7 linked regions of the Macaca fascicularis genome follow. The protein of the gene in region 7 interacts with the protein of the main gene of each other region in a biochemical or structural test. Links are inferred from orthologs where the notes say so. Each region holds a gene or a part of one and is shown on either strand. Other genes may lie near its edges. The genes, in order: ARHGAP35, ARHGAP32, RTKN, MCF2, KCTD13, PLD1 and RHOA.

What was found.
Region 1: the proteins of RHOA (region 7) and ARHGAP35 form a complex in vitro, tested with the Homo sapiens proteins (3 studies listed by BioGRID). The link is inferred for Macaca fascicularis from reciprocal best matches to the Homo sapiens genes RHOA and ARHGAP35.
Region 2: of the proteins of RHOA (region 7) and ARHGAP32, one has a biochemical effect on the other in vitro, tested with the Homo sapiens proteins (3 studies listed by BioGRID). The link is inferred for Macaca fascicularis from reciprocal best matches to the Homo sapiens genes RHOA and ARHGAP32.
Region 3: the proteins of RHOA (region 7) and RTKN form a complex in vitro, tested with the Homo sapiens proteins (8 studies listed by BioGRID). The link is inferred for Macaca fascicularis from reciprocal best matches to the Homo sapiens genes RHOA and RTKN.
Region 4: the proteins of RHOA (region 7) and MCF2 form a complex in vitro, tested with the Homo sapiens proteins (2 studies listed by BioGRID). The link is inferred for Macaca fascicularis from reciprocal best matches to the Homo sapiens genes RHOA and MCF2.
Region 5: of the proteins of RHOA (region 7) and KCTD13, one has a biochemical effect on the other in vitro, tested with the Homo sapiens proteins (2 studies listed by BioGRID, with this or other methods). The link is inferred for Macaca fascicularis from reciprocal best matches to the Homo sapiens genes RHOA and KCTD13.
Region 6: the proteins of RHOA (region 7) and PLD1 form a complex in vitro, tested with the Homo sapiens proteins (2 studies listed by BioGRID, with this or other methods). The link is inferred for Macaca fascicularis from reciprocal best matches to the Homo sapiens genes RHOA and PLD1.

The regions. Positions count from the first base shown.
Region 1 is NC_088393.1:54,850,832-54,854,864, reverse strand, and holds the start of ARHGAP35 (rho GTPase-activating protein 35), read right to left. Parts: upstream 2,895-4,033; 5' UTR 2,676-2,894; intron 1-2,675.
Region 2 is NC_088388.1:127,704,097-127,708,170, forward strand, and holds the start of ARHGAP32 (rho GTPase-activating protein 32), read right to left. Parts: upstream 2,804-4,074; 5' UTR 2,644-2,803; coding exon 2,486-2,643; intron 1-2,485. UniProt on the Homo sapiens protein: GTPase-activating protein (GAP) promoting GTP hydrolysis on RHOA, CDC42 and RAC1 small GTPases. May be involved in the differentiation of neuronal cells during the formation of neurite extensions.
Region 3 is NC_088387.1:47,504,290-47,508,486, reverse strand, and holds the start of RTKN (rhotekin), read right to left. Parts: upstream 2,834-4,197; 5' UTR 2,739-2,833; coding exon 2,563-2,738; exon of another isoform or gene 2,384-2,562; coding exon 2,120-2,383; intron 989-2,119; exon of another isoform or gene 766-988; intron 395-765; exon of another isoform or gene 40-394; coding exon of another isoform or gene 1-39. UniProt on the Homo sapiens protein: Mediates Rho signaling to activate NF-kappa-B and may confer increased resistance to apoptosis to cells in gastric tumorigenesis. May play a novel role in the organization of septin structures.
Region 4 is NC_088395.1:145,854,624-145,858,228, forward strand, and holds part of MCF2 (proto-oncogene DBL), read right to left. Parts: intron 3,604-3,605; coding exon 3,382-3,603; intron 1-3,381. UniProt on the Homo sapiens protein: Guanine nucleotide exchange factor (GEF) that modulates the Rho family of GTPases. Promotes the conversion of some member of the Rho family GTPase from the GDP-bound to the GTP-bound form. Isoform 1 exhibits no activity toward RHOA, RAC1 or CDC42.
Region 5 is NC_088394.1:28,174,707-28,178,946, reverse strand, and holds the start of KCTD13 (BTB/POZ domain-containing adapter for CUL3-mediated RhoA degradation protein 1), read right to left. Parts: upstream 2,845-4,240; 5' UTR 2,663-2,844; coding exon 2,419-2,662; intron 11-2,418; coding exon 1-10. UniProt on the Homo sapiens protein: Substrate-specific adapter of a BCR (BTB-CUL3-RBX1) E3 ubiquitin-protein ligase complex required for synaptic transmission.
Region 6 is NC_088376.1:83,081,675-83,085,275, forward strand, and holds part of PLD1 (phospholipase D1), read right to left. Parts: intron 1,636-3,601; coding exon 1,518-1,635; intron 1-1,517. UniProt on the Homo sapiens protein: Function as phospholipase selective for phosphatidylcholine. Implicated as a critical step in numerous cellular pathways, including signal transduction, membrane trafficking, and the regulation of mitosis.
Region 7 is NC_088376.1:112,365,594-112,369,198, reverse strand, and holds part of RHOA (transforming protein RhoA), read left to right. Parts: intron 1-3,258; coding exon 3,259-3,379; intron 3,380-3,605. UniProt on the Homo sapiens protein: Small GTPase which cycles between an active GTP-bound and an inactive GDP-bound state.

The sequences.
Region 1 (4,033 bases), on a different chromosome or scaffold from region 7:
GAAGACCAGGAAGCTGGAGCCTTCCCTGGAGCAGAGGTGAAAAAGAAATAATAAGCCCACCTTCCCCATCCCCTCCCCCAAGGTCACACTGCAAACCAGAGGCCATTAGGGAAGGCAAGACTGTAGCTTCCCTAGGTCCAAGTGTGGCCATAACCCCCAGTGGGATCGGGAGAATCTGAGAACTGGCATTTCCCCAGCTAGAGGTAAAACAAAATGACTTGTCAGCTGGGGGAAAAAAAAGCACACTCCTAGGGGTGCTGGCTTAGAGGTGGAATAGGAGACAGGGTACTGTATGCAACCGCTCAGAGAAGGAAAGAGGGAAAGTGAGAAAGAGAATAAAGATCTGTGAGCAGCTGCAATCCCCTTTTCCAAAGGACACAAAGCTGCAGAGCCCAGAAATCGGAAGGGGGAGAGCAAACAGCAGAGAAAAGAAAATGGGGCAACGGAAAGAGATCTACCTCCCTCCACACTACTAACCTAGTGGAAGTGGGAGAAATGGGGGAGACACTCCCAGACTCCACAGAGCAGTAACAATCAACCAACTCCCACCTATTTACCCAGATCTCTCAGGATCCCTGGGGATAGAACCCTCAGGGTTAGGGTGCAGAGAGAGAATCTGCAGTCTCAGAGCCTGAGAGCCTAAGGCCCAATCCAGCCCCTTTGCCTCTGCAGCAGAGGGATGGAAAACAGAGAAAGACATGCCTGAAAGGGGAAGTGCTCAATGGGGAATGGGTGGGCCACGGGTGGTGAGCTGCGATGAGCAGGTCTGATAGGAACTAAATGGGAAGAGGAGCCTGCCAAGATACAAGGGGAAAGGGAAAAAAAAAAAGGTGAGGAAGGAAACAAGTCCAAGACGAACAGAATTGGGAGAGGGATATCAAAGGTGAGTAAGGGGAGTGAGAATCTATCACAGCACTGAGGCAGCTCCAAGAGGAAGGTGGGGGGGATACATAGGAAAGAATGATTAAGAAGACATCTTAATGTCACAATTGGAGGGAGTGAGAACTCCAAAAGAAGACAAGAGGCAGGGCAGTGGACGGGGGGGCAAATAAAGCAGAGTGAAGGGTGAAGGCTGAATCAAAATGGTGGGGGGAAGAGAATGTCATGTGGAAAACTTAAGACTCGGGAGGGAACAGAGAGGGGACACAGTGACAAGAACCCCAGTGTTAAAGGACCGCTCCAAGCGCGGACGGCAATACAGAAGTTAAAAACCGGTCTAAAAACATGCGGGCAAGTGGACAGCTCCGAAACAGCCGAGCTGGGGAGGGAAACACTAAATAGAGGATGGGGCAGAATTGAAAAAAACGAGGAGAAAGTGCAGGTACAAAATGGATCTAGGGGCAGGTCTGTGAGATGCACAACGGGAAGGGGATGGGTGACCAGCCCGGGAGGTATCAGAGGTATAGTGACGTTAAAGGGCATGTCTAAGGGCTAAAACGGGGAGGAGAGGAGTTGGAGCAAAGGGGACAGGAAGCAGTTTTTAGGCAGAGAACTGAAGGAGATACAGGCCAAAGAAAGGAGTAGCAAATGCATGCAGTAGCTCAGAGAAGTGCCAAAAAGGAGGTGGGGGAAACAGGAAACCTCCAAGAGAACACTGGGGCTGAAACTGAAGGCAGTCTGAGTTAGGGAGAGATCAGTTGAGTGAACAGCAGAAATGGGAGACCTGCAGAGTCAGAGAAGCGGGAGGAGGCTGCTTCCCGGGAAGGCAGTCAGAAGCAAGCAGGTGAGGGGAGCGCAGCAAGATCTGAGGTCGGGCAATGGGCAGAGCTAAGAGGCAGAAAGGTATGGAAGAGAGGAAAGGGTCTGAATGGCAAACGGTAACAAGAGCTGAGAAGGGGAAGAGGCAAGCACGGTGCAGCCAAGTCCGAGGGGATCAGGGGAATGAACTGGGGCACGGAAGGGTCAGAAGGCCAGCCGAGGGGCATCCCGGGGTGCAGCAGGCTCTGTGAGAGGGCAGACAGAAATGCAGATAGTAGGGCCCACGAGGGAACCGGATTAAGTCCAAGGGGAAGACCTGGGGCAGCAGTGCCTGGTTGAACAGGGGTCTCAGATGGATCTCCAAGGGGTTGGAACCGCAGGTCCTAAAGGGACAGCTCCCAGGGTGCAACATATTCTGAGACAAGAATAATAGCACAGCAGGTAGGTCAAAGAAGGGGCCGAGGACAGATCTGAAGGGTGGTGAGAGCAGAATCGAGAAGAAGCAGAAGGGTCACGGATCTCAAAAGTGGGAGCCACAATTAAGGGATGCAGAATGGTCAATGAGAAAAAGGTGGGTCCCAAGAGCACTGCAGAGCCCGGGAGGAGCGAAGGGCATTATGGAGGGGTGGAAGAGGGAAGGGGGTCGCAGAATTGGGAGCCGGATGGCTGAAGTCGGAGAGGCTCTGAGGCAGACACCGAGATCCCAACTGATCGGGGGTGGGGGCGGCAGCGAGGACAGCAGGGCTGCGGCGGGCAGGGGTAGGTCCAAAGGGCAGAAAGGCCCCACGGGCCGGGCCGACGCGCGAAGCGACGGGGACGGCGGGGCCCGGGGAGCTGGGGGGGCCGCTCCTCCCCTCCCCCTCCAGCTCCTCCATTGTTCGCGGGCTCCGGGCCCCGCCGTCCCCGCCTCCCCCTGGACCCCTCAGCGGGGCGGCGCCCGGCCTCGCCGCCCGGGGCCCGTGAGCTCGCGCACTCACCAGCTGGGCGCCCTCAGCGCGGCCCCGGCCTCCAGGATCCCGGCAGCAACGACGGGGGCCCCGGCGCCATGTTCCCCTGCTCCTAGTCCAGCGGCTGCTGAGGCGGCGGCGGCGGCGGCGGCTCCGGCGGCGGGGGGCCGGGCGGACCCTCCCTCGCGGGTTCCCTCCTCCGCCTCCTCCACCTCCTCCTGCCGCCGCGCCGCGGCTCTCCCTCGGGGCGGGGGGCGGGGAGGGGAAGGGGGGAGGGGCGGGAACCAGGGGGAGGGCGGACCAGCCTCGCTCACTCCCTCCCTCCCTCCCTCCCTCACTCGCAATGGCGGCAGCGGCTGCACCTCCTTCCTGCGACGGCCGCTCCCGCGCGCGCGCCCCCTCGCTACTGCGCGTGCGCGGCGCGTGGACCGTTGCAGGGGGATAACGGCCCCTGGGCGCGCGCCGCGAAGGGACGACCAGCGAGGCAGTGGGGAGAGGTCAGAGCGCGTGCGCACCCGAGGGTCTCACTGCCACCGCCGCTGCCTGAGGTTAGGAACCGCCGCGGACGGTGCAGTGCGCGTGCACCCCCAAAAATGCAGCTACTGCGGCGGCCGCCGTCGTGACTGAGCTCTAGGCGAGCTGCAAACGAGCAGAGGGAGCGGGGTGGGGGAGCGCGCGTGCGCGGGGGGCTGCCAGCCAGCGCAGCTGTTGGCGCAGGGCAGAGGGAGTGGCCCGCAGGAGGAGCGCGCGTCTCCGCGCGCGCCTCAAGCAGCCGATCTGCCACCTCGCGCTGGCTTCTGGAGAAAGCCGAAGGAGAGAGGCATGGCCCGGTTTTGGGGGTGGGGGGCGAAGGGCGCGATCCCGCTCGCGCGGGACCTGAGCAGCCAATGGGAAGCAACGGGAGGTGGGTTTGCCGCGCGAGCCGCAGCCCCCGGGATAACGGAGGAGGCCAGAAGGAGCGACGTAACGTGGGGCGGTGGGGCGGGGCTGAGAAGGAGGGAGCCCACCAGAGAGGGAGTTGATTGGAGGATATGAGGAGGCGTGGCCCGCCTCAGCCCAATCCGAGCCCCGCAATTCGTCGTCCCGGAAGAAGAGGCGGGGATGGAGAGCGCGTGCTCTTTCTCCTGGCTGTGAAGAAAATCCGCAGCCAACGCGCGCGTCCTTGCAACTTGTTTTTGGTTCTGTGATCGCCTGATCCCCAGGAGAGGGAAGACGGCCTGGTACTGTGTGCAGCCCAAGCCTGTCACTTAGCATTGTGCAAATGACTACAAATCAAATGTCAATTAGGGCGCCTGAAAGGAAAAGAGTAGTGATGGGAGAGGGCACCGCTGTAACCCTTGACTCCTCTGAACTGAGGAGGTGTTCCTCTGGGACTCCTCCGGAAGTAC
Region 2 (4,074 bases), on a different chromosome or scaffold from region 7:
GATTACTAGCTTCACACTACAAGTAAGATTCAGAAAATGAGAGATCTGCAAGTCAATGGCAGACAAGTTTAAACTACCTCCATGACGGAGACTGGCAACTTCCCATAGTGCAAGAATGTAATAAAAAGGATCCTTTCATCCAACTGAGTCCAAAAATAAATGCTATTTCCAAAGCTACTGGACAAACATTAACTTGTCTCTGAGAGTACTTCCTCCTAAAGCAGATGGCACCTGGAAGCACCAGAGGCCTACATTCTAGGTGCGGTGTGACTTTACTCTCTTAGCCATGGTGCCTCAACTTACACAAGAGCAGGCTTTTAGGAGTGCATTTAAAATGTAGTTTAGAAGCTATTCAGGGAAAAAGAAAAGTGCACAACCTTTTGCCCTCATCTCATTAGTTGTGTGTGTGTATGTGAATGGAAATGTAACCAATACGACAGCTTGGTGTCACATGTATTATAGCAGAGATTTTTACAAAAACTCATTAAGACATTTTTTTAATTATTACATTAATTTTACAAAAACAACGGTCATACCACACTGAGTCTACTATTTGGTCCTCCCAAGGTTACAGCTGCAAGTTCTATCCGATCCTTCCCCTTCCACACCCACACATCCATTTTCCTGCAAGGCATCTCGCAGGAAGCCACCACGAGGTTGTGACACCACCCTGCTGCCGCATTTCCTCATGCCCCACTGCTGAATGTGTGAGAAACACTACATGAAATTGGGCCTTGCCCACACCTCATTGTTACATTTGTAAATAAAATAAGATCAAATTGCAAAGATGTAACTGATTGAGGAGAGCCATGGTGCTATTCAGATAGGAAATACAACTATAAACAGAAGACAAATGCCCTATGGTATCACAGTTTCCTTAAACAACACATCACTAGCTCAGTTTCTCAGAATGAAAATGCTGTCACATACTCCCAAGGAAAAGAAGAGCTCAGTCTTACACAAATTTGCTTTTAAATGTCAAAAGAAAATCCGAGAGAGACACCCACTGACTAACAAGTAAATCTAGGATTACAGTACCAAATTTGTTATAAAAACAACGACGAAATAAGTTCCAAGTGGTTTCTTCCTTTGACAAATACCCAAATAACTTCCACAATTTGAACACCAGGTCAAAAAGTTTTATTACAAACAAAACAAATACTTTATTCCTACTCATTGTTAGCAAGACACAAACCATATTAAAAAGCAGAAGATGTGACTAACAATTAGCAGACCTTGGAAGGGAAGGGACTTACTCAAATTTGAAAGGCTAAATAAAATTATGAGAAAATGAGAAAGTTCAGACAAAAAATAATCATATGCTAATAAAATAATTCATTTTTATACTCTGAAAATTATTCTTTTAAAATTTAAAATATACTTCTCATTTATTTGAACCCCTGAGTAAAAAATTTAGTGAGGGTTATCAAGAGTTCCCAATATTCAATCCCTTCCATCATTTAACCTAGACTTTAAAAAATAAAATTTGTGGATAAAGAAATCCTTTGACTAGAGAAAAGGAGAAACTCTTTTTCAGCATTAAACACAAAGACAGTATCTGACGAAAATAGTATATTCACCTATCCGAGTTCTCATAGGTAAACTTACAAAAGATGTTTAATTGCACGTGAGTGGCAGTGATGACATGCAGTGCAAACTTCAAACTTCATCAAGAGATTTTGTGATGCTCTAAAAGTATTAAATTGCTAACTCTGAATGAAAAAGAAAAGCCAGAATAAAGTCCCTTAAAATTTGCAACAGTACAACAGAATGAATGAAACACTGGTTCTGTTCTCACAAACTGGTTAAGACATCTTTCTTCACCACTGACACTAAACTGAGAGTTGCTTCATCAGGAGGCATCCTCTAAAAACTTCAATTATGAAGTTATTAATACTACCAGAGATTCAAAATCCAAGAGAGATTTGGGGGAAGGGGGGGTGTGAGATATAAGATCAGAGGCAAGGGTAAGGACCAAAGTCACAAAATAACCAATCTGTACTTAATCAAAATTTTTTATACCCATGCATAAGGCCAACAAAGCAGGCAGGCACGCAGACACACACACACACACACACACACACACACACACACACACACACCACATTCCAAGAAAAAGAGGAAGAAAAATCTATTAGATACAAATTCAGATCAAATCTATTTGATACAAATCAGATACAGGAAGGGGTAGTAGTTCATTATGAGTCTCTACTTGAAATTCCTGAAAGGCTACTACAAAACCTGTCTAACACCTTCTCCTCCTGGTGTTCTAACAAGCCATGTAAAATGCATTTTACAAGTCCAGGGCAAGTTCTGGAATGAGGAGTGCTATATACAACTCAAAACCTGCCCCCTTCAGCTCCAAACCTTCCCCCAGAAAACAGAAAGTCTTATTGGAAAAGAGACTGAAATGCAGAGAAGAAAAAGGGGTGCGGGTGGGGGTAGGGAGTGAAGAGGACAAAGGAACTGTGAATTCCATAGTTACCTGAACTTCTCTTCCCTTTCTTCCTCTTCACAGTCAGTCACCTGGACTGTAACTTCAGACTCCAACCAGAAGACACTGTCATCCCCTGAAGTGCTACTCTCACTTTCAGTCTCCATCTTGTATTTAAAAAAGAAAAACACAACTAGACCTCCAGGCATGGAATAAAAAGCACCAATATTCAGGCTGTTCAGCTCTACTTATGTATACTCAGACGTGTGGCTGGTACCCCAGTGACAGGTACTGGTGCTGGTTTAATTACAGTCAGGGTACAGACAGGAAATCACAGGCAGCACAGTCACTGCGTCTGACTGCCATACTGGGTGACACCTAGACCCTCCCACTGCCTTAGGCTGCGTGACCTACATAACCAAAAGCAGAATCCAAATGAAGGTGATTTTTTACTAATTATTCTGTAATAATGACTTTTCTCAAAGTTTCCACTTAGTAAGTTAAAAATAGGTATTTTCAAATTGCAAGCTTTATTTGTGTCCTTTTTTTGATCTCAGACTCCAGAAAGGTAAACAGAAAACTAGAAAGAACAACACCATCCACGGGCCAAGCACATGAGAACCACAGTTATAGATCTCACAGTTAAGGAGGCTCACAATAAGTAGAGAAGATAAGTATGCTCTAGGGACCTGCCTAGGTTCATGCCTTCCAATATTATACCCATCTTTCCTTCCTCTCAGTAAGGACTGCCATATGCATCTCTGCTCAAGTATCCAGAGTGAGACATAAAAGCTGGGCTTGTCCACAATCCTCGAAAGAAAAAGTTTAAGTGTCACACGTTCAAAGATGCTGACAATAACCTCAAAAAAAAAGCATGCAAAGTTTTTACACATTTAAACTGCAAACAGTCACGGTGGCAATAAAATGACTTGCTGGGAAATGAGTGAAATATAGCATCCATGACTGTCAACAACACAACTGTTACTTAGAAAAGAGCCATGTTGACAGAAACTATTGACCTGTTGGATATTCATGGCTATTTGTCTTTTACTGAGCAGCAACAAACTGCAAAGCCCTCACCTTCCATTGTATCTGATTAACTTAAAAATTAAAAAGACATCCACTGATGTCTTCTTGAATTTTCACGTTTGAAAATAAAAACCCAAGCACAGTGGCTCACACCTGTAATCCCAACACTTTGGGAGGCTGAGATGGATGCATCGCTTGAGCTCAGGAGTTCAAGACCAGCCTGGGCAACGTAGCGAGACCTCATCTCTATGGGGGTTAAAAAAGCAGCCAAGTGTGGTGGTGTACCCTGTAGTCCCAGCTACTCAGGAGGCTGAGGTGGGAGGATCGCCTGGGCCTCGGAGTTCAAAGCTGTTGTGAGCCATAATCATGCCACTGCACTCCAGCCTGGGCAACACAGCAAGACTCTGTCTCAAAATATATATATATAAATTTTAAAAACTTTTCAAATAAAATTTTTTAAACCAAGAACAGCAACAACATTATGAGCAAAGTCAAAATGCAAACAAGTTGAGAAAAAAATATTTGAAACATATCACAAAGGGTTTATTTATTTCAAATATAAAAAGTTCTTACAAATTTCTAAGGCCCAAGAACACAAAAGATAAATAGGC
Region 3 (4,197 bases), on a different chromosome or scaffold from region 7:
CATATTCAGGTCCTCCAGGATGTGCAATCTGTCCTGCATCTCTGTGCCCCCCAGTGCCCTTTCCTTTGTCAGCCCCTCCAGAGGGGGGACAGACAGGTACCACACTGTCCCACAGTTCCTCCTCCCACTGTTCCCTCAGTCTTTAAAGAGGTGGCCAGCTCTTGGGCAGAGGTCAGAGGCTGCCCTTATCCCTCTGCACTCCTGTTAAACCTCTCTGGCTGCTGTGACAAATTTTCCTCGCCCACTGCTGCTCCGGGGCCCTGCTGTGAGCCAGGCAGGGAAAAAAAGGAAAGCGAAGTGAGGATGAGTGGGGTCCCAGGAGGAAAGGCCAGCTGCAGAGGGGGCTCTAGGCACAGAGTGTCCAGTCTCGCTTTGGTGGCAGCTGTTCTCCCAGCTGTGGAAGAAAAAGGCCCTTTCATTCCGACTCTGGCCGCTCCCCAGCCCCCGCCCACATCCCTGGCCTGGTGGACAGAGAATCTATGTGTGGAGAGGGCAGTGAGGGGCAGGCACAACTGGAAGGGGGCAGGGAAACGACGCCTCATGCAGGTTCTAGAGCCATAGGGCTTGCAGGAGGTTGGAGCTTTCCGAGAGGGGTTCCGGCTTAGTTTGAGAAAGTTAGGAAAAAGAGCCACAGAGGTGAGGACCTCAGGGGAGAGTGAGCCCAGGGAGCCCAGGACAAAGGGGTGAGGTGGTAAAGCAGCCCAGCCCCAGGGCCACCCCTTCCAACTCAGGGCCCCCATCCAGCCCGCTCCACCCTGGACTCACAATTACCTCGCTTTTCCAGAGAAGGGAGGAGAGGGAGAGAGGAAAGCAGGGGTGTGCCTGTCTGCTGCTGTCCCGCTCCCTTCTGCAGGCCCCTTCCCTTCCAGACAGGAAACCAGCCCCGAATCCCAGCCAGCTGCAGCCTAGCGCCCCCGCCTCCACGCCAGGCCCACGGAGTCACACTCCACTCGGCGGCCGCCGGGCTCTGCGGCTCCGCCCCAGCTCCTCCGAGCTGTCCCCGAAGGCCAGGCTAATCCCAGGGGCGGCCCCAGCTCCCAGGCCCCTCCTCCTGGTCCCAGGCCTCGCCCCTTACTGCCCCACGCTGGCCCCACGCGGGTTCCTCGGGCCCAGTCGCTTGGGGGCAAGGGGACCCGACAAAGGCCCCCTCTCCGCAGGCCCACCAGCTTCTGAATCAGAGAAGGCACGGGACACCGGGACAAGGGTGTGAAAGAGCCTTTGTTCTGGGCAGGCTGGAGGGAAAGGGCAGAAGCCAGGCCTGGAATCCCAGCCGGGAGGGCGAGGGGGCGGGAGGAAGGCCCACCTCACTTAACCCTTTCCAGACCCGGAAGGGAAGGCTTGGAACTGGGCTCTCCTTGGGCGAGTGTGAGTCTGACCTTGGGGACAGAAGAGTCTTCGGGATAGCTATTCGCCCTGTTAGTCCCCGCTCAACCACACACCTTCAGCCCCGCCCTAGCCTCTAGGGCTTTACAGGTGGGGCTCCAACCGGTTAACGCGTGGACGGTGGACGGGGGAAACGCTCAGCCTAGGGGCTGGACTCCTCTTAGGCACCAGGAAAGGAGGCGGAAATTTTGCGTGTGGGAAGTAACCCCAAAGAGTTAAAAGCCCTGCAGGGGCATAGAGGAGCCTTTGAATTGGGCTTCCGAGAAGCGAGCCACCCCGGCCTAAAGTCGGGATTGATGACAGGCTGGCCCAGATGGCTGCGACAGGTTGTGGGATGGGGCTGGCGGCAGGGGAACAAGCGGGAGCCCAGGCCAAGAGTCCGAGCGTTTGGGGCCCGCCTAGTTGCCCACTGCCCTTGGCCTGGGGATACCCAGGACATTTTGGGGTCCAGGCACATTTTGGGAGTCGAGCTGGGGCCCTACAAATGGAGACCAACCTGGCTTTTTCCAGGCTCAGGCAAATCATCCTAACCAGGCCGGGGAATGGGCAGCACGGATCCAGTGAAAATGCAGACCGTCCACACCTTACTTTTCAAGTCAACAACTCCGTCGGGTTTGTACCCAGACAGTGCGTCCCCGTCCCTCGGCGTCCACGCGGGCGAGGGAAGGAGGCCGAGGTGGCTGGGGCTGCCCCCGGGATTCCGCGGAAGGGGAAGGCAGGGACGCGGGTCTCTCACCTCGGGCGGGTCGCTGAAGAGGCTGAGTCGGAAGCGGCCGCGTTTGAACTCCATCTCCAGGGCGGAGCCCCTGGCCACGGTGACCCGGCTCCGGTGGTTTCGGGAGAACATGTTGGCTGCCCTGCGACTTCGCCTGCGCAGTGCGCTCCCCGCGCCGCCCGGCTTAGTCTCCTCTCCGCGGCTTCTGTCTCTCGACGCTTGCCCGCCAGTCCGGCCGGGAATCTCCCGCTGCGGGGCTCCAAACCCCGCCCCCGGAGACGACACCTGGGCCGGGCAGGGCGCGGCAACCTCCTCTTCCACCCCCGCCAAAGGCCCAGCCCGTCCGCCCAGTCCCTGGGCGCCAAGCCGACCTGGCCCGACGGCCCCGGAGCCAGAGGCGCCCTGCACCTCGCGAGCACTGCGGAGGCGCGTTCTCCCTGCCCGCGCGGGTCGCAAGCGCTTACCTGGACTTGGGGCGGGCTGAGAAGCCCTGCCCCGCCAGCCGCCCCCGCCTGGCAAGCCTGGCTTCACGGGCGCTGAAAACCCCGTGGCCAAGGGATCGCCGCGTAGCACGTTCCGGCTCTACTCGGGCCCTGGGACCTTGCCCAGTTTCAATCCCGGCAGCCTCTGAAGAGACCATTTCAACATCCCACAGTCCCGAATATTCCTTCTTCGTCCCCCTCCCCACTTAGGCTCCTCTGCGAGGCTATCCGCCAAAGCCTAGTGGCCACAACTGATGAGGCGGTGCTTAAACACGTCGTGAAACCCCAGCTCTGCCACTGACTCACCTTGCAGTCATTGACTTGGTCCAGTCATTGGCCTTTCTGAGCTTCAGTTTTCTCATCTGTTCAGTGGGAATACTGTAATTATCACCTCTTCTCAAGTTGCTATGAGGATTACCTAGAAGAATGAGGGTAAAATGCCCAGCATAGTGCCTGGCACAAGGCAAGTGCCCCATATTTGCAGCCATAAAGAGCAGCCGGGCGCGGTGCAATCCCAGCACTTTGGGAGGCTTAGGAGGGTGGATCACAGGTTCGAGACCAGCCTGACCAAAATGGAGAAACCCCGTCTCTACTAAAATACAACATTTAGCCGGCCGTAGTGGCGCATGCCTGTAATCCCAGCTACTTGAGAGGCTGAGGCAGGAGAATTGCTTGAACCCAGGAAGCAGAGGTTGTGGTGAGCTGAGACTGTGCTACTGCACTCCAGTCTGGGAAACAAGAGCAAAACTACATCTCAAAAAAAAAAAAAAGACTGGGCACAGTGGCTCAAGTCTGTAATTCTAGCACTTTGGGAGGCCAAGGGGGACTGATTACTTGAGCTCAGGAGTTGGAGACCAGCCTGGGCAACATGGTGAAATCCTGTCTCAACAAAACACACACACACAGACACACACACAAATTAGCCTGGCCTGGTGGTGGTGCATACCTGTAGTCCCAGCTACTCGGGAGCCTAAGGTGGGAGGATGGCTTGAGCCCAAAAGCTCAAGTCCAGCCTGGGCAACATAGTGGGACCCCATCACTTTTTTTTTTTTTTTTTTTTTTTGAGATGGAGTCTCGCTCTGTCACCCAGGCTGGAGTGCAGTGCCCGGATCTCAGCTCACTGCAAGCTCCCCCTCCCAGGTTTACACCATTCTCCTGCCTCAGCCTCCCGAGTAGCTGGGACTACAGGTGCCCGCCACCTTGCCCGGCTAGTTTTTTGTATTTTTTTTTTAGTAGAGACGGGGTTTCACTGTGTTAGCCAGGATGGTCTCGATCTCCTGACCTCGTGATCCGCCCGTCTCGGCCTCCCAAAGTGCTGGGATTACAGGCTTGAGCCACCGTGCCCAGCCAAGGACCCTATCTCTTAAAAAGCATTACAAATATATATTACTTTTTATTTTTTATTTTTTATTTTTTTGAGACAGAGTCTCGCTCTGTCACCCAGGCTGGAGTGCAATGGCATGATCTCGGCTCACTGCAACCTCTGCCTCCTGGGTTCAATCGATTATCCTGCCTCAGCCTCCCGAGTAGCTGGGATTACAGGTGTCTGCCACCACGTCTGGCTAATTTTTGTATTTTCAGTAGAGACGGGGTTACACCATGTTGGTAAGGCTGGTC
Region 4 (3,605 bases), on a different chromosome or scaffold from region 7:
ACTTATGCTTAGAAATGTAACTTAACATATTAATGAAAGAACCCGTGACATCCACCCTGAATGTAAGTAAGAAGTTATTTTCACAGTGTCCCAAACTATCTTTATATTCTCACTCCACCATTCCAACTAACCTACTTCCGCTCAAATACCACAATTTAAGATGAATAGTGATCTCATATTCAATATTTTTAAAAATTAATTTTGTTTCATTACATGGTTTTATCTTAATAACATGATAAGCCGGAAGGCACACAGGCTTTGAAGTTAGAGAGGTCTGGATTGGAATACATCTCTACTATTCACTTGCTAGCTATATGTCTTGGTGCAAGTTGCTTAACTTTTCTAAACTTCAGTTTCCTCAACTATAAAATGGAAAGAACATCTATTTCATAGGGTTGATATAAGGACTAAATAGCATGGAGTAAATGCTTAGATTCTATAATGAGCTTTTTAAAGTATGAATTTGAATAGGCCGGGCACGGTGGCTCAAGCCTGTAATCCCAGCACTTTGGGAGGCCGAGACGGGCGGATCACGAGGTCAGGAGATCGAGACCATCCTGGCTAACACGGTGAAACCCTGTCTCTACTAAAAAATACAAAAAACTAGCCGGGCGAGGTGGCGGGCGCCTGTAGTCCCAGCTACTCGGGAGGCTGAGGCAGGAGAATGGCATAAACCCGGGAGGCGGAGCTTGCAGTGAGCTGAGATCCGGCCACTGCACTCCAGCCTGGGCGACAGAGCTAGACTCCATCTCAAAAAATAAAAAAATAAAAAAAATAAAGTATGAATTTGCTTTCTACTCCTTCCCCTATTTAAATTGCAATTTTTTTGTTATTTTTTATTGCAAACATCTAGTACATCATTATCGATTAAGTGAACTTTTCTGAGTTGCCCTGGAAATCTAACCATTATGTATTGCACATAGTAAGGACTATGTGCAGGTTTGTTAAATTTTTAAAAATCAATGATAATAAACACATGAACTAAGGAATCTGAAGGACTTGAATCTCCCCATCTGGTGAACTTTGACTTTAGATAGGGCCTTTCCTTGTATATAAGTGGCCAACTTAAAATATAACATATAAATCATTAGAAAGTACATGGTCAGGCCATGGGGTTCCAGGTTTGTATGGTGCAGTCAAAACAAGAGTTCATTTAAAGTGAGAGACATAGACAAAGGCAACAACAGACACTGGGGACTACCAGAGGAGGGATGGAGGGGGAGGGACAAGGGTTGGAAAACTAACTCTTGGGGACAATGCTCAGTACCTGGGTGATGGGATATTTGTACCCCAAACCTCAACATCATGCAATACAGCCAGGTAACAAACCTGCAGATGTACCCCCTGAATCTAAAACAAAAGTTACAAAAAAGTGAGAGAGAAGGTTATGATCCTCTCTAAAAAGGGTAAGACTTTGAAAACAATAACCCAAATTGTTAAACAACACATTGACTAGGAATGCTAGCAATTGCTTAATGCTGGAATCTCATGATAAGCAGGCAAGCAGAAGTGAGCATAGTGAACCCTAAGAAATATCCTAATTTTCAGTGGTATCACCATTTTCCCAGGAATCCTGGTCTAAAGCCTTATAGGCATCACTGGCTAATGTTTTTTATTAAGGATATTCGGCATTACTGGGGAACCAAAGAAGAATCAGAAAGATTTTCTTCCTTCAATGTCAGGTATTATTTAATTTTTGTAGCTAGTAAGTCATCAAGCCCATCTGTCTACTTTCTATTGAAATGTTTCTTGCATCTATCCCACCTTCTCTGTTTCCATGGTACTTAACTGCAGTTTCAGTTCTCATGACTTAATCACCTAATATCCCCCTTACTTTAATGTACTCAAGAAACCTTTTGTTGGCATGTCCATCATTGTAACAAATTAAAGGTAAAATAGAAACTTAATATGAAATAGAAATACTGTATTAGGTAGAAATTAGGTCACCTCACAATAAAATGTACATCAAATGGATTTGGGTCAAATATGCCTATGAAGGTAAAGTACATTCCCAAGGAATAGGTATATAGACAGCAAGAGATTTGAGCCCTCTGTGACATAGATTACAAGTTTTTGGTTCTCAATCAATGTTTGTTAATGACTTAGAAGGCCCTTTGAGATTTGGGGGCTTAGAGGTGGACTGCTAAAATCAAAGGAGCAACTGGATGAAAACAAGAGTTTTAAAGAAGCTGCTGTGGGTTCAGAGTGAAGCAGGGAAAATAGATGATAGGAAGAACTACTTCTTTTTGACCTGACCCTGGGCAGGAACCTTGTTAGAAACAACTAGGGGCTGCTGATCCTATGGGAAGAATCAAAAGCAAGGCCTGCTTATAGGTAGTCTCCTAATACAAACACCTCATGCCTGTCTCAAAACATATTGCCTGTCCACTTTATAACTGCTGCTGAAAATTTTATCAATTGTCAAATATACTGGTGATGAGAACCATGAAAGAACATGCTCATGAAAAGTGACTAATGTGATAGTGGTTGGTGAATTAAGGACAATCATTTTCTCTATTTTTGAAATTTTCTGTGACAAATGTTATATTGGTTTTAGAATTTAAAATTCAAAAGATGAAATTCATTAGATGTAAAAAAAACTTCAAATTTGTCAATTATGGGTATCATGTGAATTGGAAGTTCCTCTTCTCTAATGGAGAAACCAGCTGTTAAGTATCATTGGGTTGTCAATAACTTCCCCAAACAAAACTGTTCTCATTTTAATAACAAACTAATATTAGGAAAAAAATGGGGATTTTAGTTTATAGGAGAGAATAAAGTAATTTTGAAAGATGGAACAGGATAGATATGGAAAGGATTCAGCTATAGGTGGCTTTGAACACCCAGGAAGGGTGGAGTTAGGGAATGGAGGAGGAACATGGAAAGGAAGGTGGGGACATGCTAGATACAAAAGTTATCCATTTTTAAATTGCATTGAGGAAAAGGAGGCAACTCTTTCCTCCCTGTCTCTCCTGCAGCATAAGGCTCCTTTCTAATAAGACCAAGAACTTCACCCAGTGCCACTGGAAAGAGAGTGCTTCTGAGGAGGCCGGGACACTCCTCATAATCTCAAGCCATGCTCTTCGGGATGCTAGGGGGCCCCCTTGGGGAATACCTAATATCGTAGTGAGAAGAAAGGCAGGAATCAAAGCTATGAATTCCCTCACCTTCACTTCAAGCAGAGAAGTTATGATTCATCTGACCTCTACATAAGACTTAAGATTTAAAAAAAAAAACAACAAAGATGTGCAGCTACAGTATAAAATGTACTATTTGAAACAAAAAAAAATGTGCAAACTGGGAGACACACACACACACACACACACACACACACACACACACACGAAACAATACTACATTACCCGATACAAATTGTCTTACTTTCCAACAGTGTTTAAAACTGTATGATGGGTATCTATCAGAGCCTTCTCCACTTTCAACACGCCTTTTGCAAAAAACAATGGCTTTTTCATACAAGAAAAGATGTCGCTGCATTGGTTTGAATCTAGCCAAATCCTTCATTTTTGTAGCACCTTTCTTGTGTCCTACCCAAACACTGAATCCACCTTGCATTATCATCTTGCCCAGTTCATTTAAGTTTCCCT
Region 5 (4,240 bases), on a different chromosome or scaffold from region 7:
AGCACCCAACCTAGTGGGGTGGGGAGAAGCAGGGGGAAAGATGGCTTTGCTGAGTGACCTGGAACTACTAAATTAAAAATTATTTTTTTGTAGAGACGGAGTCTCACTATGTTGCCCAGGCTGGTCTCAAACTCCTGGGCTCAAGTGATCCTCCCATCTCAGCCTCCCAAACACTTGGATTATAGGCGTGAGCCACCAAACCTGGCCTAAATTATAAGAAAAAAGGATTCCAGCCAGGTGTAGTGATTCACACCTGTAATTCCAACACTTTAGGAGGCTGAGGCGGGTAGATCACCTCAAGTCAGGAGTTTGAGACCAGCCTGACCAACATGGAGAAACCCCATCTCTACTAAAAATACAAAATTAGCTGGGCTTGGTGACGCATGCCAGCTACTTGGGAGGGTGAGGCAGGAGAACAGCTTGAACCTGGGAGGTGGAGTTTGCAGTGAGCCGAAATCGCGCCATTGCACTCCCTGGGCAATAAGACGGAAACTCCGTCTCAAAACAATAAAAAGAAAAAAGAAAAAGAAAAAGAAAAGAAGGCCAGGCGTGGTGACTTAGGCCTGTAATCCTAGCACTTTAGGAGGCCGAGGTGGGCGGATCACCTGAGGTCAGGAGTTCGAGACCAGCCTGACCAACATGGAGAAACCCCGTCTTTAATAAAAACACAAAATTAGCCAGGCGTGGTGGCGCATGCCTGTAATCCCAACTACTCAGGAGGCTGAGGCAGGAGAATCGCTTGAACCTGAGAGGCGGAGGTTGTGGTGAGCCGAGACAGCCTGGGCAACAAGAGCGAAACTCCATCTCAAAAAAAAAAAAAAAAGAAAAGAAAAGAAAAAGGATTCCAAAGCCACAAAAAAGTCTGAATACTGATCTGTCTCAAGCCTGTGCCACAGCCAAGAAATCTCTTTAAAACATCTCCAGCGAGTTCTCTCATAAGTTTATACATATCCAGCCAGAGAATTAATTCATCCAAATCTGGTCTACAGTCAGAAGACTCTCACCACGAGAAAGTTCTTGCAGAATTACCTTATCAATAAACCGCTAACCCCCGATGCTAATTCTCACCATTCTATTTAATTAAAATGTCTACCTCCCCCGTCCAGTTCACTGCCATTTTAACTTTTATATTCTTCATAGAACTTACTATCAAAAAAAAAAAAAAAAGAAAGAACTTACTACTATCTGCAATTGCATATGCATATACATTTTGTTTACTTGCTTATTGGTCTTCCGATCTCTCACCTCCCTAAAAAAAGGGAAGTTATATAATTTTGTCAGGTTCATTTACCTATCTCCAGCACTAACTGATATTTTACAAATACTCATTGGACAAATGAATTCTTCCTTTTTTTTTTCTGAGACAGAGTCTCACTCTGTCACCCAGGCTGGAGTGCAGTGGCGCCGACTCGGCTCACTGCAACCTCTGCCTCCCAGGTTCAAGCGATTCTCCTGTCTCAGCCTCGCAAGTAGCTGGGCTACAGGCGCACACCACCACGCCCGGCTAATTTTTGTATTTTTAGTAGAGACGGAGTTTCGCCATATTGGTCAGGCTGGTGTCAAACTCCTGACCTCTGGTGATCCACCCGCCTTGGCCTCCCAAAGTGCGGGGATTATAGGCTTGAGCCACCGTGCCTGGCCGAATTCTTCACCTTTGATACCTGAAGGCAGATCTCCGCCTCCCAAGTTTTTATTCTACTGCTCTCACAGTCCTTGTTAACCCCTCCCTTAAGACTCTCCCACTCCCAAACTCCAAAACTTCAAGGTCTCACTTGGGCACGAAGGGTCCAAACTTGAATACAACACTCCAAGAAGGTAAGGTTCACCTGCCAAGGACACCTGTCCACCCTCCACTCTGGTGTCCCTGGCAAACCCAAAGCAGCCTCCTTCTGCAATGTGTATATACAGATGGATTCCTAGAGCGTACAGGGACCTGTGTCAGGGGAACACAGAGGCAGACAAGATCTCCCAGCCCTCCTGGCTGGTTGTTAGCAGTTCTGAAGCAGAGAGGGAAACAAAAGGCTGGGCGGTCGGAGGAAACTGATGAAGGCTGCCAGGAGTAGTACTGCAGGCAGCAGGGCTGGTTCCCAAGTCTTGAGCTGAGACGTGAAGGGTGGGAGAGGTAGTCATGAGGATTATGAACTGACACGTTCAATCACTTACCACAGCGCCTGGCAGAGTTAGGGGTTCCGTAAGTGTTGGTTATTGCTGGGGGTAAAGGATTGGGGGAGGAGAAGAGAAATTATGAATGAGAAAAGGCGAGAAGATGGGATGTCGGGGCTGGAGGGAGCTGAGAATGAGTTGACGGGACAGCAGCGGGCAGAGAGAAGGGGCATGAGGAGCCCCGTTGGTGAGAGACTGAGGGGAACGGGAGTTGGGGATCTGGGGATGGGGGCACGGTGGGGGCGCCGCTAGTACCTCCGGCATCGGTCAGCACCTCCACGCGGCCGCTGAACATGGCCTTCAGCATGGTGTCCTGTCCCGTGAGGGTGCGCAGCGTGGTGTAGTGCAGCGAGCCGCCCACGTTCAGCTTCACGTATTTGCTGTTCGGGGTTAGCGGCTTGAGACCGTAGGCGGCGGGGCCAGGCTCGAGACCCGAGGGCTTGGGGGCTTCCAGGGACGGGGCCGCGGGGGCCGCCGGGCCCGAGGCCTCCGCCGACATACCGGGTAGCAGCGGCAGACGGCGATCCCAGGCTCTCTCCGCGCCCTGCGACCTGCTCCCGAAGACCCTCGGCCAGCCCCTAGCCCTCGGGCCAGACCGCTCCGCGCACACGCCCACTCACCGCCTCTACTCAGCGAGACCGGCCCTCCGCCCCATCTCGCTCGCACCACCCGGAAGCCAGTGCCGGGTAGCTGCGCAGGCGCGGCCCGCCCCTGAATGGGGACGGGGCTGGAGTATGGAGCATGCGCAGTGGGCTTGCTGGGGAAGCCGGTGGATAGGTGGCGTGTGGCCCTAAGGTCCCCCGGGCGGGTCGACGTGCTCTTCCCTCTGGTCTCGAGTCCCCAAGACCAGATCGAGGATGCGGCCGACCCGCTGGCCGATGTGGAAGGCTAAGTCTCCGCCTCGTGATTGGGTCTCTGCTGTCAGAGAGCTTCACGAGCTTGAGGAGAAACAGACCGTGAGGTCTGGGCATTGGGCAGTTTCCCGCCTCCCAACCCCGCGCACTGAACAGACCGTGACGAGAACTGGAACAAAGCGCGGAGGGAAGCTCTTAAAGGAGGCCAAAGCGGCCGGGCGCGGTGGCTCACACCTGTAACCCCAGTCTGTAAGCCTAGCTACTCGGGAGGCCGAGGCAGGAGGAACGCTTGAAGCCAGGAGTTGGAAGCTGAAGTTAATACATGATCGGACCACTGCACTCCAGCTTGGGCAACATAGCATCCTTTAAAAAAAAAAAAAAAAAAAAAGAAGCCAAAAGGGGTAGCAGTGGTGCCCGGGCACCAAGGATAGAAGGCCTCTCTGAGGAGGTGATGCCGAGCTGAAGCTAGGAAGCGGATGTGAGGGAAGAGTTCCAAGCAGAGGGAAGGCAAATGCAAAGATCCTCAAGGCAGGAACACGCTCTCCGTATTTGAGGAGCAGAGTGCGTGTCAGTGGTGGCAGCAGCAGCTGAGCAAAGGTCTTAGAATCCTAGCTAATGTCATGGGACCTAGCACCCAATCCCAAAAGAAAGAAGAAAAGATAGGAACCCACTGTTGACAAGAAGGTGCACTGAGAAGTGTTTTTATCTGACCCTATCTGCATCCAGTTTAGAAGCCGATACGTCAGGGATTTAACAATCCACTTCAATGTCTAGCAAGGGAAGTTGCTGGAGGGAAAACACAGAGTCAGAGTTCTATCTTCAGCCCTGCCAGCAGGTCCCTGGGAGATGCTGGAAGAGTGACTTTTCTCTGGGCGTGGTTGGTGCAATCACCAACCTCGCAGGAGAGAGGTCAGAGTGTAAATGAGTGACGTAGGCCCGTTACTGGGTATAAGTGGGCTTATAGTGACCAGGAGCTCATGTTCTACCAAAGGGGTTGCCAATTCTGATTTTGAGTGTGGCGGTGTAAAAGAGGAAAGCAACTGCTGCCAGCTGGGAGCTGGTTTGCACCCTCACTCCAGAAGCCTTGATGTTGCTAGGAGCTGGCCTGGCACCAACAGTGAGGCCATGGTGGTGTCCTGTTGAGCATAATTTCACAAAAAACATCAGACAAGGTCCCTCTTTGACTGATGATAGAGAAAAAGACCATTCCATAATTAAGCCTC
Region 6 (3,601 bases), about 29 Mb from region 7:
CCCCTGAATACTTCTGCATGTATTTCTTAAGAATAAGGACATGTGCCTATATAATCACAATACTATTCTCACACCTAAGAAAATTAATTATATAATGTCATTTAAGTTATGCTTCATATTCAAATTTATCCTGTTATCCCCAAAATGTCTTTTATAGATGTTTTCCCCCAAATCCAGGACTCAAATAAGGCTGTGCACTGCATTTGTAAAATTACATTTTAATGACTCTATGCACATGGCCTACTTGATCACAGCCTTCAGTCCTCAGGATGAAATAAGGTTATACAGGGGCCAGGAGCATTGGGTCATGCCTGTAATCCCGGCACTTTGAGAGGCTAAGGTGGGTGGATCACTTGAGGTCAGGAGTTCAAGACCAGCCTGTATAATACAAAAATTAGACGAGTGTGGTGGGCACCTGTAGTCCCAGCTACTCGGGAGGCTGAGGCAGGAGAATCACTTGAACCCAGGAGGTAGAGATTGCAGTGAGCCGAGATCATGCCACTGCACTCCAGCCTGGGCAACACAGCGAGACTCCATGTCAATTTAAAGAAAAAAGAAAGAAAGAAAGAAAAGAAAAGAAATAAAGTTATACAGATAGTAGACATGTTTCAGTAAGAGTAAGTCTCTCTGCTGGAAGGAGCTCTAAGACAAAAATTGCGTATTTTCCCTAATGTTTTTAAAAGAGGTTCACGTCTGTACCTGGAAATCATGAAGAAGAACACAGACTTCTCCAGCTTCTCACAGATGGTCAATTAGTCTTGGCTAGAACACAGCTTGTATATTTTTCCCTGATGGGCAACTAGCTACTTTTTGAAGTAACTTGTTCCACTGTTACACAACTCTGAACTCTTTTACATTTTTTATTATAACCAAAGGGTAGACTTCACAGGCGATACATTTGGTATGCATCAAATGGAGCTGGTGTTAAAACACCTTTCTAAAACTAGAGCTGTCCAACAAATGACATGTCTTGTTATTAATATTAACAAGCTTCATCATAAGGATGAATACTGTTTACTATACACTATGTGCTAAAAACATTCACTAGACTATTCTTTGTCCTCATAACTACCCTTGTGAATATTCCTCCCAATTTATAGGAGAGGAAAAAGAAATTCAGAAAGTCAAGTCACTATATACAAGGTTATAATACCAGCAAATTGAGCTAGGCTGGACTCAGCTGTGGCTTATTTTTTGATGTCATCTGCCCCTCTTCTCTTTGTCACTAGACATGTACAAAGGCTGGGTAACCAGGTGCTAAGGATGCTGCCGATGGGATTCCTGCGTCACAGGAGAGATTAGAATGCTGCTAAAGACTTTTCTAAACCAAAATCCATGATGCTTTTTGCTGTTGTTTTTCAGGGTCCACAAAGAGGCATTTTATTACAACCTGGAAATGTATTAGTTTTTTTACATGTATTAAGAATACCCTGTACCGATAATATGCAGAAATAACAATATGCTTTTTGTGATGAGATTCAGTGAAAAGAAAGGGGGGAGGAATATGTGAACTTCACCTTGTCATAAATTGTAGCATTTCGAGCTGCTGTTGAAACCCACACCTCCTTGAAGAATTTGTCACTCACTGGATCCTGAATGTCCTCACTTGGGTCATCAAGATAGCCAAGGACGACCCTGAAATACAAGTGACCTTCACATTGAGTAACTGGGATAAAGCAGTTTGTTGCAGGATATATGTCTATTATTACCTATCTCTATATATGCAAATATATATATATACATATATGCAAATTATTTGAGAGACCATGACCTGGCTACTCGCATATCCTCAGAGTGCCTGACATAAAAGGAACTATTATCTGAACTGACCTTACATAAACAGGGGACTAGACATAACAAAAACTTCTCAAGCAAATGAGACAAGTTTTAGAAGTGATATTTGAAAATTATAATAACCCTTGTACTTAGAGAAGCCTTTAGGATTAAAAAGCACTTTCACCTTAATCCTGTGTGGTAGACAGGACAGATGATTCTTATTCTGTAGATGGGAAACTAACATCTCAAGGCACACTAGTAATGGAGCTAGAACTCAAACTAAGGGCAAAGTCCTTTTCCCACATACTTGATGGGCTGAAATAATACCAAGAAGACCTGTGCTATCTGGAAAGAGCAATAGGAAAATTGGCCTTGTAAGGGCTTTGGCTTTTATATTAAATGAAATGGAGAGTGTAGACGTCAGTGCAGAGGAGTGACAGAATCTGACTTACATATTAAAATACAGCTGCTGTATTGAGAACACACTCTAGGGTGCAAGGGTTGAAACAGGAAGCCCATTTAGGAGTTACTCCCATAATCCATGTGAGATACGATGGTGGCTTGGGCCTGGGTGGCAGTGGAGATGAAGATAGACCCAACAGGTTTTACTGACAGAGTGAATGTGTAGGGTGTGTCAAAAAGTGAGGCGTCAAAGATGACTGCAAGGTTTTTGTCTTGAGCAACTATAATAATGTACAACTGTAGTCGCCTTTAGCTGAGATAGGGAATTCTGTGGGTAGAGCTGGTTTGTGGGAGATCAGGAATTCGATTTTGAGCCTATTGAGACATTTATAAAGACGCAAGTGGCAGTGCTGAGTAGGCAGCAGATAAATGCAACTGGGGTTTGGGAGAGAAGGCTTGTTTAGAGATATAAATCTGAGAATTGTCCTCACGCATGTGCTCAAAGGCTGTATTTTTTTCTGAGTTCACCAAATAAGTGAGGACAGACAGAGGAGAGGACTGGGTGCACATCAACAGTAAGGGAGAGGAGGAGGAACCAGTGAGGCTGGAGAAAAGCCAGAGGATGTGGGATCCTGAAACCACACAAAGAAGTATATCAAGGAGAGCTGTCCAATTCAGATAAGAATTGACCACCGGATTTAACAACTAGACATCATTATATTGTTACCCTCTTTGTATTTAAATAAATGTAGATTTGCATCATCATTTTAATGGCTGCAGAGTTTCCTATCATGTGAAATTTATTGAACCAATTATTTTATTACCGACTTTTGGGTAATTTCCAATTTCCCATTATTATAAACAGTGTTCCAGTGAACATAGTTGATTCATCAAAAGTGATTTTGTACATTTCTGTGATTATTTCATTAGAAGAAATTTTAGAATTAAAATTCTTGGGTCGGAGAATATGCAAATTACTGCAAGAAAGGCTGTACCAAAAACAAACACTATTAAGCATGCATATGTTCCCAGTGTTCTCCAACATTATCAACTCCTGAAAAAGTACAATTCTGTAGATATTAAAGGACACTCATTTTAGTTTTAGTCTGCACTATTTCCACTATATAAAAAATTTTTTTAATGGATCTGGCACCATAGGATTCTTGACTTTTATAACCTCAAAGTTCTGTTTCCACTTCAAATAATGCCTCCTTCAGACTACGTGACAATAACTTTTTTAAAAAAAGATTTAAGAGATGTTTGCACATAGACATTGGCTGCTAATTGAGACCCAAAGCAAAATTTTACTGCATCAAATGTGAATGACAGTACAAATGATGACAGTAAGTCAATTATTATAATACCTGTGATTTGGGCCAGATTTAAGAAGCTGAAAATTGAGCAGAAAGAGTTTTTCTGTGAC
Region 7 (3,605 bases):
GGTAGAAATGTGATGACATCTTCAGGATTGGTGTCAAGTAATAGCCCTCTTATCTTAGATTGATACACCATACATAGAAAGATCCATTGGCTTGGGGAAGCAATGGTAGGTTGGCATTTTCATAGCTCATTTCTCAAAAGCCTAGTGAATGTGTATTACTGGTTGTATCCTAACATTTTCTCCAGAGAGTGGCCGTTAGTTGCTGCATGTCTGTGAGCATGAACTGGAAGAGTCTTTTCCACCTGTGGCAGTATGTATGTTTTGGAAGCAGCTCTTAGGTTCTCTTGGAAACATCATCTCTGCCTGGGCATCTTGGAACAACCAGAATCTTGCCCATAACAGATTTAGAGATCTTGACTTAAAACCTTGAGGCATGGTCTGTGAGAATCTTGTGCTGCAAACGTTGGACATCACTGACCCTCGCAAGATAGGGGGAGGTCCTCAATTGAGGAGAGTCCCCCGGAATAAAAGTGTTTGATTAAAGAGCATATCACAGGCTACCTGCCTGCCTCAGAGCGACTCAAGAGTCCCCAAGATGGGAGAGGGTACTGTGTAGGAATATTCATTTAACAGTATGTAATAGTACAAGGCTGGACACCATAGCTCACACCTGTAATCCCAGCACCTTGGGAGGCTGATGTGGGAGGATCACCAGAGGTCAGGAGTTTGAGACCAGCCTGCCCAACATGGCAAAACCCCATCTCTACTAAAAATACAAAAAATTAGCTGGGTGTGCCTTAGGCTGAGGCAGGAGATTCACTTGAACCTGGGAGGCAGAGGTTGCAGTGAGCTGACCGCCACTGCACTCCAGCCTGGGCGACAAGAGCAAAACTCTGTTTAAAAAAAAAAAAAAAAAAAAACCAAAAGCAAAACAAACAGGAAAAAAACACAAAAAAACAGTATGCAGTAGGACAGCCTAGGGAACCATACAAGATTGTAGGTGATTATGGTACCAAGAGTAGGCCGGCTCACAATGAAAAGGCTCCTTTTGATATGAGACAGGCTCAACACTTTGGCAGCATTTTATCAGGCGCCAATAGAGGCTGAATATATGAACACCGTGGGGTGGAGGGGGCTGAGAGAGTGGGATTTGTAAATGGGCTCCATTATTGTGAGGACAGACAGATTGTGATAATTGGGCATCAGTATATCTTTGTTACACATGATGGTGTGCATGACAGAAGTACGGTGGGCCTTGTGGCGGTTCTTTGTGATGATGCATCCTGGGGCAAAAGTTGGGGGGTAGAAGAACTGTCAGTTTTAGGGAAGAAATCATTTGGAAACTGAAATTTGGGCTGTGGAGGTGCTAAGAGAAGAAAGATGTGTTCCAAGTATTGGAGGGAAACCTCTTGGGCCTCAAAGGGCCTCTGTACAGAGGATGTTTAACAACGTTTAACATGGAGTTTGGTGATAAGAAGGGGTAGCAGAGCTGGCTGCAGTGCTGGACAGTGTTGAATGGGACTTGTGTTCAGAGCCCAGGCATTAGTTTACCCTTCTACCACAGAAGGGTGAGGATGTACCCGGATGTGAAAGGAGTACTCTCTCACCTTATGTGATGCATTATTTCAGCCATTTCTTGAGTAGTAAAGGCATAGCCAAAAGGACTTTGCTGTCATCTCAGGCATCTCAGGCCTTGCCTAACACCCAGCATGGTGTCTTTTCCTGCCTACCAACTCAAAATACAGATTTGTCTCCATGGTTTCCACATTATAGCAGAAAATTTACTTAGTCTTGTATCTTCCTCTCTTGCCTGTATGCCTGGTGGAATGTTATTTAAAATTTGACTTCTTCCCTCCTGTCTGCTTTCTTTCCTAGTACAATGTTACTTATAATTAAACACTTTTATAAGTTACAAAGTTATTTTTGATTTGACATTTTGAATTATGCCACTTGGTTCAGTTCTAGTATCTGTTTTGTTTTTTTCCTAATTGAGACAAGGTCTCCCTCCCTAGGATGGAGTGCACAATCTCTGCTTACTACAGCCTCCGCCTCCCAGGCTCAAGCAGTCCTCCCACCTCAGTCTCCCAAGTAGCTGGGACTACAGGCATGCACCACCACAGTCAGCTAATTTTTTTTTTTTTTTTTGAGACGGACTTTCGCTCCTGTTGGCCAGGCTAGAGTGCAACGGCGCAATCTCGGCTCATTGCAACCTCCGCCTCCCGGGTTCAAGCGATTCTCCTGCCTCAGCCTCCTGAGTAGCTGGGATTACAGGCATGCTTCACCATGCCCGGGTAATTTTGTATTTTTAGTAGAGATGGAGGTTCTCCATGTTGGTCAGGCTGGTCTCAAACTTCCGACCTCAGGTGATCTGTCTACCTTGGCCTCCCAAAGTGCTGGGATTACAGGTGTGAGCTACCGCGCCCGGCCCACACTCAGCTAATTTTTATTTATTTTATATTTATTTTTTTCTAGAGACAGAGGCTCGCTCTGTCGTCCAGGCTAGAGTGCTGGAGTGCAGTGGCGCGATCTCGGCTCACTGCAACCTCCGCCTCTCGAGTTCAAGCAGTTCTCCTGCCTCAGCCTCCTGAGTAGCTGGGACTACAGGCACACGCTGCCATGCCCGGCTAATTTATTTTGTATTTTAGTAGGGACGGGGTTTCACCGTGTTGCCCAGGCTGGTCTCAAACTCCTGAGCTCAGGCAATCAGCCTGCCTCGGCCTCCCAAAGTGCTGGGATTACAGGCGTGAGCTACTGCGCGTGGCCACACTCAGCTAATTTTTAAGGTTTTTTTGTAGAGATAGGCTCTCAGATTTTCAATTTTGAGAAATTTCAACGTAAAATAATTTAAATATACTCTCATTTGAGCTTGATGCTCATAAAAGTAAATACTCAACTGGGCACAGTGGCTCACGCCTGTAATCCCAGCAGTTTGGGAGGCCAAGGCGGGCAGATCACGAGGTCAGGAGAACGAGACCATCCTGGCTAACACGGTGAAACCCTGTCTCTACTAAAATACAAAAAATTAGCCAGGCGTGGTGGCGGGTGCCTGTAGTCCCAGCTACTTAAGAGGCTGAGGTAGGAGAATGGTGTGAACCCGGGGGCGAAGCTTGCTTGAGCCAAGATCGTGCCACTGCACTCCAGCCTGGGCAACAGAGTGAGACTCCATCTCAAAAAAAAAAAAAGAAAAAATGTAAATACTCCTGTGTTTTACTGTTTTAGACCGTCTGCCATTTCAGTGTACTATGGTAAGTGTCACTTTTTCTAAAAGTGGGTAGGGGGATTAACCTTGCATTTTTGTGGTTGTTTTTCCCATTACAGGTAGAGTTGGCTTTGTGGGACACAGCTGGGCAGGAAGATTATGATCGCCTGAGGCCCCTCTCCTACCCAGATACCGATGTTATACTGATGTGTTTTTCCATCGACAGCCCTGATAGTTTAGGTGAGTGGCCCTGCATTTGCCTGTGTAACTGGTTGGCATCTGGTTTCTGGGCATCAAGTGGCTGAAAAGCAGACATGAACTTCAGAGAAGCAATCATCAGTGGCTAGAGTCCTGGAGTTTAGGACTGTAGAGTGTGGGCCTTGGGTCCCTTTCAGCCTAGGTTTCCCATGGCTACTTTATTTAAAATGTATCCACCTAGGCAGGGCACGGTGGCTCACACCTATAA